Linked DNA regions of Oreochromis niloticus. The protein of the gene in region 1 purifies or fractionates together with the protein of each later gene. This does not show direct contact. Links are inferred from orthologs where the notes say so. Each region holds a gene or a part of one and is shown on either strand. Other genes may lie near its edges.

The links. Proteins that work in one complex are often made in the same cells at the same time.
Region 2: the proteins of ing4 (region 1) and meaf6 purify together in Homo sapiens (affinity purification with mass spectrometry; 5 studies listed by BioGRID and IntAct, counting the BioPlex papers as one, with this or other methods). This does not show direct contact. The link is inferred for Oreochromis niloticus from reciprocal best matches to the Homo sapiens genes ING4 and MEAF6.

What each region holds. Positions count from the first base shown.
Region 1 is NC_031976.2:23,063,560-23,071,071, reverse strand, and holds the start of ing4 (inhibitor of growth protein 4), read right to left. Parts: upstream 3,056-7,512; 5' UTR 2,970-3,055; coding exon 2,903-2,969; intron 2,679-2,902; coding exon 2,607-2,678; intron 1,571-2,606; coding exon 1,404-1,570; intron 1,297-1,403; coding exon 1,182-1,296; intron 1,067-1,181; coding exon 955-1,066; intron 874-954; coding exon 729-873; intron 1-728. Other genes in the region: nop2 (28S rRNA (cytosine(4447)-C(5))-methyltransferase), read right to left, coding at 4,267-4,691, 4,785-4,921, 5,000-5,097, 5,190-5,312, 5,415-5,504, 5,597-5,736, 5,824-5,964, 6,077-6,164 and 2 more.
Region 2 is NC_031985.2:13,858,670-13,865,661, reverse strand, and holds the start of meaf6 (chromatin modification-related protein MEAF6), read right to left. Parts: upstream 3,063-6,992; 5' UTR 3,013-3,062; coding exon 2,923-3,012; exon of another isoform or gene 2,922-2,922; intron 2,264-2,921; coding exon 2,148-2,263; intron 1,778-2,147; coding exon 1,690-1,777; intron 1,601-1,689; coding exon 1,555-1,600; intron 1,459-1,554; coding exon 1,266-1,458; intron 1-1,265. Other genes in the region: stpg1 (O(6)-methylguanine-induced apoptosis 2), read left to right, coding at 3,300-3,368, 3,462-3,563, 4,135-4,305, 4,393-4,501, 4,582-4,750, 4,833-5,023, 5,687-5,793.

The DNA.
Region 1 (7,512 bases):
TTCATATTATGACACTTGAAGTGGGTTATAAAATTGATTTGGTTGAGGTTTCTCACAGAGCTTAAATGTTTTTTAGCCCTAACATTTTCGTTTAGCTACAGCTCTTCTGACGTTTGATGGCTGAAAAATACTGGGGGGAAAAAAAAAATGAGGCAAACAAAGATGTGCAAAATTTCTGCCCACTATTATGTGCTTTAAGTACCTGTAACTCAAAATACATTGATAGTATTTAATTACCTAAATTTTGATTTGCTTCATTAAATCGATTAAAGTAATATCCATGCATTTATTTTCTTAAGTGTTTGTCAAATTCAGGGTCACAAATGGGCTGGAGCCTAACCCAGCTATCTCAGTTTTTTTTTTACCTACAACAACAACAAAAAAACATGTGATACAGATGGGAAGTATTTTCATATTTTCTTGATTTTATATCAAATGAGCCTCTTCACATTGATGAACAACAAGAAAATACGTGAATATTTGAAGTCTGTAAAGGATTTATACCTAACAGAAAGTCAACCAAAGACTTTATTATTTGCTATAGTTTTCAGTGTAAACATTTTGGTTGCTACACTTGCGCTCTTTTTCTGTTAAAGACTTGTGCTCTAAACCATGTAGCTTTTCAAACGACAACACACATTCATCAACATTAAATGTAAACTTGTGTCTATACCGATCTCATGTGTCCTCTGATTGAGTGTAAGAGGGCATTTTAATACAAAACTCACATCAGTGTTGTCACAGCCGATCATCTCGCCATAGGAGACCTGATGACATAGGCAGTAGGTGGGCTCGTTGGGGTCCACTGGCATATCCAGCACATCGGATGGGTGCACGTTCCCAAAGTTGGAAGAAGGGCTGTTGAATTCTCCTCTGATGATTAAAAAATGTTGTGTGTGAGAAAAAGAAATAACAATGACGAGACCATCAAAAACTAAACAGTGCCCAACATACGGCTGAAGGAGTTTCACTTTCTTCTGTGCACTCTTAGGACTGCCGTCTTCATCTGAACTCTTCACTTTAGACCTCGTTTTAGCTGCCTTCTTCTCTTTTTGCCTGGAATCTCCTGGGATTACAAAAGCATGCAAGACATACATTATAATGAGTATGGATTTACTTAACTGAGCACGTAACTAATTCAACAAAATAAAAAACTGGGGGCAAATACAGTGTTAACCCACCTTTCTTCCCCTTACTAGAGGTGGAATCATAGTCTGTGCTCTCGATTTGCTTTTCCTTCAGGTCAGCCTCAAACCGAGCCAGATCCGTGTCCAGACGTCTGATGTGTTTATCCACCTGCACAAAATTCAGGCCATGCTTACTCAAATACAGGGCAGTGTATTTATAAAGTTATTTCTTCTAATAAACATGTCTAAAATATGTTTATTTTCTAAGATACCAACCATTTCATAGGTCTGCATGGCCAGCTGCACCTTATCATCTCCAAACTCCTTGCATTTACTGTATGACTGCTGGATCTGCCTCAGTATGGACAGCTTTTGCTCAGAGGAGAGAGTCCGGGCGTTGGCAGTGTATTCTTTAGCCAGAGAGTCTATCTGGCCTTTAAGATCTAAAAAAATAATAATAATCATAATTTTTTTTTAAAAAAGATGAGAAGAACTTCTAAACAATGCTGTCTGTGATTACGAATATAATTTTAATACCTCACACAAATAAGTCAAAATGTTTTTTAAAATAACACAATTGGATATTCAGTTTTCTTATTTAACTGGCATAAAACCAGCAACCTAAAACAGTGAATTATGATCTTAAGGCTTCAAAAATGTTCATCAACTTTTGGGTTCTATCCATTCATCTTCTTCTCCTTATCCGTTTCTGGTTGCTGGGGTGGCTGGAGCCTATCCCAGCTGCCATAAGCAGGATACACCCTGCACAGCTTGCCCTTCTATTTGCACAGCTAACACTGACAGACAGACAACAAATTTAGAATCACCAATTAATCTAATTCCATGCATGTCTTTGAACTGTGGGAAGATGCCAAAGCACCCGGAGAGAACCCATACAAGTACCGGGAGAACATGTAAACTTCAGGCAGAAGGACTTCAACTGGATTTAAACCCAGGACCTACTTGCTGTAAGTAGACAGCACTAACCACCACACCAAACCTTTAAAAATGTTTTTGCTTAGGACATATAAATACATAATAACACACCTAACTGTTTTTACTCTGTACTACTACTATTATCATTATTATTATTATTATTATTATCATTTGTATTTATTTAATTTCCTTATTCTTGTTTTAATGTTGTTGATCATTTATTTGTTTTGGGGTTTAAAAAGTAATATATAAATCAAGATGACTTAAAAATGTTATTATGCGACTCCTCATTACACATTGAGATAGGGTGCGAGCTGGGTCAATTTAAGAGCACTAAATAAAAGTACATACAGGTGATAATAAGAAGAAAACAATAATAACAATAATTAGGGTTGTTTTTTTTAGAACAAGGCTTTTTTTGGTTAGTAATCTAATGATTCCTCGGACTTTCGTTGGGGTCCCTGTGTGGGGGTAACCCATTTACCTCCATTATAAAGTACCGTGTTTTGTGGGTTAATGAAGATCCGTGTTCACTGAGCTTACCCTCTGTGCGTTGATCTAGATCCCTCATCAAATTAAAGTTCCTCTGCAACTCGAATGGCAGGTTTTCTATGCCTGGTGTGGCAGGAAGGCAGGAGAACAAAGATTTTTAAGACATCAACACGAAACAATGAAATAACAACACTGGCTAGCTCAATCTAATGTCTGAAGTGATGCTTTTTCGGTTAAGCTTTAAAATTCTCAAGCACCCCATTAAACAACAAGTGGCACAAATACAGCTGACTATGAATGCTAACTGCATTTAACTTGTGCCAGTAGTGGCAATACAGAATGCTTACGAGCCTTTCTTTGCTCCCGTGCGACGCGCTGTTCCAGCAAATAGACTGAGCCTAAACCCCTGACCATTAGGAAACCGTTAGAACACTCCCTTCCGCACTGAAGCTGATCAGGAGATACACTACACAAAGAAATTAAACTATAAAACGACTAAGGATGTTTTTCAATGCATCAGAAGCACGTACAAATTCACTTACTGTCCAAATAATGCTCCAAATACATTCCCGCCGCCATCTTGGAAAATGTAAACAACACAGCTTCCGGACCGAGATAGAGCTGATCTGATTGGTTATTTCCAGAGCGCACACAACACCGAAGGAAGAATCAACAGCCACCAAAGTACTGCCAATTACAGGTGTAATATTCAAATTATCATATGGGTAATAAACACTAACAGGTATGCAAGAGCGTCCGAGATCATTTAAAATGATAGGATAACTTCACTCCTTTTAGAAATCGTCAGAATCCCCATTTTAAATGTATTTTTAGCAAGGTTATTATAGTTAATCTCAACTAAAGAATAAAACTATAAACGTTTTTAGGTAACTGAATGACAATAAATAAATGAAACGACCTTGTGAATTACAAAACATATACAAGAAATTTCTTTATATTTTCTGAAAATGTGAAATAGGTGCAGCAATTTATTGGAACACATGTAAACATCAGTGGTGATGATTTGGATTTGTAAGTCTAAAAGACCCGTTTCCACTGATTTTCACTCCAGTTCTTGTCTAACCTGCCATACCTCGATTTAGACAACAGAACGGTGACTGTCAAGAACTGCTGAGATTTCTGATGACCCTTCAAGAAACATTAGATGAATTCAGAAGGACCTCTCAGGTCCTGTGTCAAGTCTTTGCTGGATTTGTTAGTTCTTTAAGAAAATTACTTTTAAACACTGTTCATCTGCTGTAGATTGTCTTTTTTATACCCACCACTCCTCCATTTCTCCAATTTCCTCAAATTCTTTTTAAGGACACACTGCACATTGCGCTGAAATAAACAAGTTTTCAGCTAAAAGCTCTTTGGGAATAATTTGACATGTTTGGACACAACACTGGTTCATCCTTTGAGTTACGTGCCTTTTTTGTGTGTGAATGATTCATAGGTCAGTAGTAAGTGTTCTTAAAAGATTTATTTCTCACAGAATTATGGAAAGCATTGAATCTGTATACAGAAATAAAAAAGAAAGCTCCAGCTTTAGTAGGAGCATTGTTTGTGAGTCCAATCATCAGCACGCAGCCATGTTACAATCACGTTTGACACATACTGGCTGCACAAACAGAACAGCTTCATCAGACAGAGGTGGATCCACGTGTGTAACAAAGCTTTAAAAAAATCCAAACATGCATTTAACACACTGTCACTCTGCGTTTTGTTTTTGCAACATGTGCTTCAACTTGTTGAATTTATTCTTTCCCATTCTGTTCTTGGCCTTCATGGGTGTTTTCCTCTTTTTGGCCTGCTTTTTCTCAAACCTGGTTCCTTCCTTTGTGTCAGCTTTTGATGCTTTACCATCATCTGTTGTCTTCCTGGCTTCTGTGCCCTTCACAGTTTCTCCATCCATCTTGGCGACTTTTGCCTTTTTTGATCCAGTATGCAACTCCTTTTTGCCTTGTGAGTTGATGTTTGCCTTTTTTGTGACTACAGTTCCATTGGCTTTGTTTTCTTGCTTCAGGCTGCCTGCCTTGTTGAGGACAGTCTTCTTTGTCTTGTCGCTCTTGGACCTTTTCTCTTCAGGAGCTTCTGTGGCCGCTGTCGTCTCAGGAGCCTCTGCCTTCTCATCTTCTACAACAGCAACAGAGACAGATGTTTAGTTAGTGATAAACAGGGAAAATATCATAATCAACGTGGGCATGAAGCTATGACAAAAGCTCTTACCATTCCCTGGTGGTGCAGTTGGAATTATGTTGGAGAACTTCTTCAGCTTGGCCACAAAGAATCCGTCCATGTTGTGGGAGTGAGGGTAAAATCGTCGCGTGAGTCGCAGAGTCGGATGAAATCTGAACTTTTTGAAACTAAAAGAAGGAAAATATTCATGTTTTATTCAGTTTCTTACTTGCTCCTAAAATACTTTCACTGGTTATCCAACTTACTTGGTAAAGCCTTCCTTGCCAAAGTCGAGTCCTGTGGGAACTAATTTGACGTTTCTTTTCTTTAAAGCGTAGTCCACCACCCATTCATTCTCTTCCACCTAGTTGAAAATAATACAATCACTTACCAAGCTCATCTGATATTTACTATGTTTGTACATAAATGTGGTAGAAATTCAGAGTTTCCACATACAGTTATTGAGCACGTGCAGTAGACCAGATATCCTCCCGATGGGGAATCCGCATTGACCGAGTCGATGGCAGACAGAATCAATTCTTTCTGCAAGTGAGCACAGCGATTGATATCCACCTCATCCTGTCAGTGAACAGAAGGGCAAAAAGAAACAAGTATTAGCACACTACTTAAAGCAAACAGACATGTGTATAAAGACAGAAAAAGTTTCTTTTTTGGTTTTACCTTGCTTGTCTTCACAGCTGGATCTTTAGCAATGACTCCTGTGCCTGAGCAAGGTGCATCAAGCAGCACCCTATCAAACCCACCCATTACCTTAAAGCAGAATTTCAACAGGTCAGAACATTAAAACTCTAATAAGGCTTAATCCCACAGATATTGCTTATCTACACATTTAGACAGGATACCTTCGGGAACTCTCTGCCGTCGTAGTTGCAGACCACAGTGTTGGTGACCCCCAGACGGTGGATGTTTCCCACCACACTCTTCAGTCTTTCAGCATTGGCATCATTAGCCACTATTACCCCTGTGTTTCTCATCAGCTGAGCTAAGGGTGAGAACAACTGCATAAGGACTCCACGATTTTTAAGGGTGAAATAACAACATAATTTGCAATAAAGGCAACACATCTTACCAATATAGGTAGTCTTTCCTCCTGGAGCTGAGCTCATGTCCAACACCAACTCTCCCTCCTGTGGAGACAGCGCCATGACTGGCAGAAAGCTGGAGGCTCCTTGGAGCATATAATGACCGGCCAGATACTCCGGAGTTGCACCTAGTTAACATGTAAAGAATCGGAGTTAGAGCTGTAGTCATACTCAGATATTCCCCAGTGAGCATCCTTATTTGCTTAAGTTGGTCACTGACATGACTGTATTGAAACCTACCTACAGGTACTGAGGAGTCATAGATAACCAAACCCACTTTAGACCATTTCCCCAGTGGATCAAGGTTCACTCCTCTGTTGATTAAAGCCTAAACAAGGAAAAGCACAAACCAGTGAATTCAATATGTAAAGACTTGAGTTTCCTCCTGACATGCAAGTAGTTTTTCCTGTTAGCTCCCAGTTATGTGTCTAGAGACCAGTCAGATTGGTTGGCGAGTGGTTGCTGGCAGTTGCTGCGTGAAATCGGCTGCAAAGTTGAATAAGCTGTGGCACCAAAAAAAAAAAAAAATCTTGTGTTTACTTTGCTCACTAGCAGATTGCCCATAATTTGTATGGAACGTGCTGACTTGCCAAGCGCTAGTGAATGTATGAAAAGTGCAACGCAAACCAGGAACAGGGAGCGTTTGCCCTCAAAGAGAAAAGCTGCACATTTTAAAATGGGCTAGATGGAGCTGTAAGGCACAGCTTTTAATCTGAGGGTGAATGTCTCCAGTTTGCGTCACACTTTTTCCAAGTTTTATAACCACTTGGCAAGTGTTTGAGAAGTTGGCCCCTCCCACAATAAGGGTGACCACAGCCCTCAATAGGAGGCTTATGACGCCGCGCCCTCTGTGCAAAAGATTTTAGCAACCAACATCCAGCAAGTATCAGCCAGGCAGGGGATGCACATTTCTCCCTGATCACATTGGCAGATGTCACTGACTGCTTTTTAGGCTTGTGAGACTTTGCATCTTAACTCCATAATCAACAGTAAATCCATTAATACATATAATATACATGTAATATTCTATAGATTTTACTTTTATTCCCATCCAAATATACTGCACCTTTCTTCTGAAAATGCTAACCTAAGTACAGAATTCTTCGGCCTGGTTGCCAAGTTTTTGTTCAACAAAAACAATTCTATATCACAACAGATACACTCTTTAAAGCAATAAACTACAAAATAGCTAACAGGCATGACATACATTATGCATTTTAACTTGTTAAAATACTCTAATGCAAATTTAGTCCATGTCTCTTAAGATCAGGCACCTACCTGTGCAAGGTCCCGCCTCCTTGTTTTCAGTGTATTGGTTCGAATAGTGACAGGTCTATGAATTTCATTGGCCTCGAGGAAATCAACCAGCTGTAAGGCAGAATGAAAATATAATGTTTGAAGTCAAAAAGATATTCTCAGCTAGACCTTGCATGTTTAAATCAATGCATCTGTGAATTCTTTTAAATCAAATGACAAAACAAACAAACAAACAAACACACGGGGAAAAAAAATGCACGGAAGAAAACACACCTCTGAAAGAGGGAATAGGTCCATAAATTTTTCAATGAGGAACTCGTTGTAGCTGTAATAGGTGCAGAGATCTTTTTTCAGAAGTGAGATGTAGTCTGCTCGGTCTTTCCCCTCTTCTCTTTTTGTTGAGAAATTGCACAGGAGGT
Region 2 (6,992 bases), on another chromosome or scaffold:
CGTGTTAGGAGGAGAACCTGCTGTGTTAATATGTAGGCATAAACAGTGAGGCCCGAGTCAACAAAAAACATGTCGACATGACACGTTAAACCTAATTTGTCTTAACAAACTTGTCATTTATTGACCCTCCGATAATCTCAGAATAACCAGGTTATTCTGAGATTGTAAAGCTTGGTGATGTGGACCAGAAATCTCTCAACATATTTTAGGCTGAATACCAAAACAATACCCTCCATTCTCTCTGAAAGCAGAAGCTCAAATGTCACAAACACTTCAATTAACCTGCTGTAAGACATCTGTTAAGTTGTCACAAAAAACAAAAACAAAAAAGGGAGCAATTTTATCTCGGAAAACATGTTATTCATCTACTGCTGCCTCAACTGGTTAGTCTGTGCTATATCGTGACTTTGGTTTTTTCTTTGCTTTATGATTGCTTTTGTCATGCATGGGAACACCAGCACACCCAAAATATCTTTTTTTGGCTTGTTGTGCACTAATTACGACCAACTCTCGTGTCTCCAGCACAGCTTGCGTGTACTCGGGCTGGATATGCAAGTGTACAAGCAGATCTGCAAGTGTCAGATAACAGAGGGAGATGCTGAAACAGGAGGAAAAAGTGATACGTTCAGTAAAAAACAAAACAAAAGACACACAAAAAAAACAATCGCATTCATTTCCCTGCTATTACTTTTTCCCCTTTTTGATTTTTTGTTTTTCCCTGAACTGTGACATCTGTCATCGAGGAAAAGACTACAGTGAGTGCTGAGGATCGCAAAGTGTGAATACTTCTTCTGTCCAGAAGAATGCTCCTTCATTCAACCATGAGAAAATTTAATAGTCTACTGGAAGAGAAAATACTCCTTTTATACTGGCCTGCCCCCAAAATACCTTTAAATAACCCCCACTGTGTACACACTCACACACAAAGGGAGCAAAAAAACAAGACAAGAGCTACTGGAATCCAAGTTGCAAACTTATTCTAGCCATACTAGATCACTTTTTGTGATCTCTCTGTGAACAACGCAATTCAATGAGCTCTCGCAGGTACAGGCAGTAAAATAAGAAATAGACTCCCTGGTGTCTCTGATTGAAGCCACGGGGGTTTAGTCACTAGTAGGAACTTTGATGTATACAGAAATTTTGTGCAAACATGTTCTGTAACGTGGCTTGCCAAGAGCAGTCTACATGAACGGCTATGGACAATCAAAAAATGGAAGGAGATTTTAACAGCATGCTGACCCCACCGTCATTCCTTTATTTAATACCTGTGTCTGTTTTTGTTCTTCCTCTTCTTGTGGCTCCCGTGGTGGCTGCCTGAGGAGGAGGAGGAAGCAGCCTTCTGAGGCTTCAGGTCCTGCAGCGTCGAGTCCACATCCTCCGTGTCTTCCTGGCTGGGCTCGTTTTCTTGGTTCTGGAGATCTGGAGAGGCATCGCTTTCTGTGCCGCTGCCTGCCTCACCTGAAGAAATCAAAACAACAGCATAAATGACACAAATTACCACCAGTCCACAAAATACAAACTTTTAATGCTGCTTAGCTCAAAAGCAAAACTCACGCTTTTCATTCATGTGATCTGGTATACCACCGAGTGCACAAACGGCCTGTAAAAATGTCACAGATTGAACAGTTTAGTAAGTGCTTTTTGTTATTATGCAGCATATCTGTTTAAAATAATAAGCAAAAGACTTACTGCAACTGATGTAACAGATGACTTGCTGAATAAACGCTCAGCTTCTTTGAATTTCCTATTCCGTCTATCAGTCTTACTATTGGAGTTCCTGTTAAATTAAAACAAGCAAACAAAAATGTAAAAAAAAATTAAACAATGGTTTGGTCCAAAAGTGGTTCCAAACGCCCACACTGGGAATAAGAAAAAATTGCGTATTTTAAATTATTTTAAGTTTTTCCTTATGAAAAGAAAAGAAAGTTCTTCAGACCCCCCCCCACCCAACTTTAACTTAAAAAAAAGTTGGACGTCCTGCTTCAACATCAACTAGATGTAGTTTTTTTTTTTCTTAATAATTTTACTGGAACTTGATTTCAGCCATCGGCTGTACTCTTCTTCCTCCTGCTGGCTTGTACGTAACTAATACAAGTCAATGGCTGACTTTTCATTTAGTGTAAATGCATTTCCACCAAGCTGCTTACTTTTGGTTGGTGAGGTATCTGTCCCATCCTCTGATGATGTTGCCATACATCTGGGTGTCTTCTAGGTAGCTGCCTTCAAATGCATATATTTGTCTTTCCAAGTTCACCAATGTCTCCTGTGACAGTGAAGAACGTGAAGGAAAAGAATAAATGTTAGATATCTGAGTTTTAGTCATTGTATTAATCAACCTGGCTGGTAAACTTTTAACAGACATTTATTTATAGACACACAAATTAGGATAATAAAATATGTCCCTTTTGAAGTGTTAATTATTCACTTGCATTTGCAGGAAGAATTCAGTGAGCGCGCAAAAGTGAAGATAGCGATGTCTGTCGCAATGCTGATTTATTCCTCATGCCAGAGAGGCAACAATATCACAGGTATCTGGCTGGATGTACACAATACACATGTGACACCAACTTATCGCGAGAACTTGGCCAAGCAGGGCGGCTGCTAAAATTTGGCTACGCTAAGCTGTTAGAATATTTTGTCAAAAGCGCTGCTGTAAAGTCGGTATACGTAAAAACACTTAAAAGAAATATTAAGAGAGCTGCATGGAGTCTTGTTACTACTAACACTACTCTTAATCAAACGTTATCAGCCAAACAACGCTGTCGACCCGCTAACTAAGTGAGCCGCTACCGCTAGCTCCGGCTAACATTAGTTTAGCATGTAGCGGGGCCTCGGCTAGCAGCGCGCACGAGAAAATTTCACGCGGTAAAATACTAAATGCGACGTTTATTTTATAACGAAACCACCTTAACGTCTACTTACGGCGAGTTCTTGTTTCCTCTTTACGAGCTCAGCGAGCTCCCGGCGAGTGTCCGGGATCTGCGGCGGAGTCGCCTTCGCATGCATCGCCATGACGGATAGCCGCTTAAAGTGGACACTAAACAGGGGAGACTAGGTACAATAAAGAAGCCCGCCTCCATTTCACCGACAGGTGGCGCTGGAGTCTCGCGATAGATCTGTTTTCACATCACCATAGCAACTGCTTTAAAATTCCAAGGACCTCGAATAGCGTCAGATGGCTTCGACTGAGTCCAAAGTGGAAATAGTTATAAATTCTTAAGCTGAAAACGTGACATAATGGTTTCTTTTATCTTGTAGCTAGTAAAAGATGTTCAATACAAGCTAAGTACCAAATAGCGATGACAACACATCAGGAAAAGAAGGGCTTTTCCACCCAGGCTAATAGGTTTGCTTCTCAAATTAGTCTGGTAGGAAGTTTAACTCCATCAAAATTCAAAGCATTTTAAAAGAATAATAATAACAGTGCCGCATAAATAACGTGTGTGGTCTTTGTGTGTCAGAGTGAAAGTCCAGGACCGGGAACCTACGACTGCTTTACCAGCACTGAAGTCAACAGTCCTTCCTTCTCAAAGAGAGGCACCACCGGCTTTTTCCCATCCAAGGTCAGGAGGTCCACTATGTATCATCTTGAAACGCCTTTGGGCATTTATTCTTGTTGATTATTTGTACGAGTCAAATCAGTTTTGTTTTGTTAAATCATACTTTTTGCCCCAATAGGGCTTTAAAAAAATCCTTACTTACCCTGTAAGTTATTTTCCCCCCAGCATCATTGCTAGTGGATTTTGTCTGTGTGCCTTTTTATGTATTGCCTGATCCAGGATGATTTTCTCCTATGGGAGACAATAAAGTTATCTTATCATTGTTAGATTGGTGTACACACCCTGCCATTCATCCTATGTTAACAGACTTCAGCTTCACTACAACCCTAATTTGAATAATCTGGCAGGAGATGGCAACCTTTAATGTCAAAGTATCCTTTTCTGAGCAATTTGTGACCAAAAAAAAAGTATGGAGCCACAAAACATCCTTGAGCCTTATAATGAAGATGACACAGAACTTAAAGTCAGTGTTAGTTATGGCTCCAGTACTCAGTTTACCTGATTACTTTTAGTCTAATAAATTTTAATCCCCTGCTGCTTTTAAATGTCTTCATCACTTCATCCTCTCTTCCAGGTTGACAGAAGGCCACAGAGACCCACTCCAGGCCCAAATGCATACAACCTACAGAGTTCCTTCATAAATAAATATGACTTCAACACTGGAGCCTCCAGGGTCTTCAGGCTGCCCATAGCTGTGCAGATGGATGGTCCCAAACATATAACTCCAGCTCCAAATCAGTATGATGTATGTGTGCTGATTATAAAAGCTGATTCAGGGTGTAATCTCTGAGATCCTGTTGTGTATTTTGTGTCATTTTTTCTTTCTGTACAGGTCAGTTGTGTGAGGAGAGTAAGCATCTCCTCAGTGGTTGGTACAGCGCCTTTCCTCTCAAGAACAACACGGGATTCATTTTGCCCAAACAAAAATGTGCCATCACCAGGTCTGCTTTGAAGTTTTGTCTCTTTTAGCCTCTTATTAAATTTGCACTTAAATTTTTAATTAAAAAAAAACTTCTAAAAGGCCACTACGAGGTGAACAGCAGCTTAATCCAGCATGGTTCAAAGGCGGTCTCGTCACCCTTCAGATCAAAAACTCACAGAATCCTTCCTCCGGCCGACCACCGTGTGCCGGGCCCGGGGGCCTACAACCCCCATCAGGCACCCACCCCAGTGAAGAAGACCATCCTTCCGTAAGTAACCATACAATGTTTAGGTTTTGCTACTTTTTTTTTTTATTATCTAAAGTTTATATCGTTTTATGTGTGTTTGAAGGAGAAGATATTTTTTGGCAATAGCAGCACCTCCTCAGACTGTACCTAAGGATCCTCCTTTGCCGGGCCCTGGGCACTATGACATAGGGCAGTATGACCGGCCATCAAAGCAGTCCATACCCACTGCTGCTTTTGCATCCAGAACTCAAAGAATACCCCAAAAACCGATGGCTGATAAGATCCCAGGACCAGGTAATAAGATAAATGAGGCAGTTTTCTCACATGCATTTGATCTCTGATTTACTGGGCCTTAAATAACACTGGTGCACATGGCAATATAGATATCCAGCACAGTCAGATCAGGCATTGGCCGTTCTGTAGTCTGAAAGCTCCTCGGTACAGTTATTGTGATATTGGATTGAATCTGCTGTATTTAACACGTTAGCTATCTTTCCTAGACCACATGCATTTTTTTTTTTAATCCAGCAAAACGGGTGCCCATTGAAACTTTTCTGTGTACACGGAGTGGCTGTTGTGTGGCCAACCATTTCCTAACAATAGTGATCATTCGGATAGTCTAATTTTATATTAAAAAGCTTTTTTATTTTTTTGTTGCAACATTTCAGTCAATATTTTCATTATGCATGGATACAGCATCTGTCCCGGGTTCAGTTTTTGTCTTTAACCTCATTGCTTAGCTCAGAACATTGCTGTAGTCTTCATGTATTATTGCATCTATTAAAAACATATTTCTGTACAGACAGGAAAGAAGCTTGAATGAGAACTTTCTTTTTCATTTGTTTAGGTTACATTCTACTTTTTGATGCTTGGTTCTTAAAAATGCGAAAGTCTGGTGAGAATTAATTTGCCTATAGTTTGCCTCACTTGCTCTCTTCTCTTTCCCCTCACTCACAGATGGTTTTGGCAGATGGTTCCCCCTTCCTGAACCGGGATCTACCAGAGGTTTCTTCCTGTTAAAAGGAAGCTTTTCCTCTCCACTGTCACCAAATGCTTCCTCATAGGGGGCTTGTGTGATTTTTGGTCTTTCTTTCTAATACTGTAGGAATCTTGTGTCCACTGTTGTGATTTGGTGTTACATAATTAAAATGGAATTGACTGAATCTGTTTGAAACAAGGCGTCTTTAATAAACTGGTGGTTTACACATTTGCCTAACTAGCTTTGATCCCAGGAGGAGATACAAAAAAAGATCTGCCAAACCAAACATGTGGAGCAATCCCTTATGAATAAAGGAGCAGCCAAAGTAGTTGTTATTGCATTCATGAAAGCATTAAGTAAAACTTTCTCTCTCCTTCCAGGTTTATATAATCCACAGCCCTTGTCAAAGCAGTCCTTCTTTTACAACGACTCCAGAGTCTGGGTTCCTGTGTGAAGCTTCCAGCTCAGACTGCACTGTAGATACGTACATCTTCACTCAGATGAACTGTGATTGTTGCTATTCTTTGATCGGCACTTTTAGAGTGAATAAGATGAAAATTAAATGTTTGCACCAATTTAGTCTCTAGTTCCGTGTTTATGTTGGCCAATCAGACCTTGGAATGTTTGGATGTTTTCGGAAATGAATCATAATTAGTATTTATCCACTGTGGTGGTGGTGGTGGTCAAATGCCAGAATTCTTGAAAAGCCATATGTTTTGTCCTTGTGGATTTGATGCTCTAAAGTGATATAGAAGAAAGTGTTGGCACAGTCCCCAGCAGCTGCCGGTCCAGCCAATGGTACGCCACAGTAACAGCTGAGAGCTCGAGATGACACCACTCTGCCAACTGCCAGAGGGCAGGCGGAGGGGTGGAGTGACTGTGTATGTGAGCAATGTGACTGACTGGGCATGAGGCAGGGTGGTGTTTAACCCAAAAGACAAATGGACGCATCACTCAGTCCCTGTATCACATGTTGCATTGGAGCTGAGTCTTTCACAATGTTTTAAAAAAATCAAATATTATTATTATGTTATTAATGCACATATGATTGTAAATGTTCTTTTTGTAAGGCCTTGTGCAGCTGTGGACCCAGATTCTCTTTTTACTTCATTTTTTTTAAATTTTCCAAGTCAGAAAACACAACATAAAGTTACACACGCCATCTTTTAAATGTTTTCTGTGGTTATTGTGATAAATGTGCCACTATAAACCATTTTGTCCACATTAATCATGGAGCAGGTCCTGAGCAGGAACAGCAGCTTTGTGGTTCAGATAAGTCGAAAG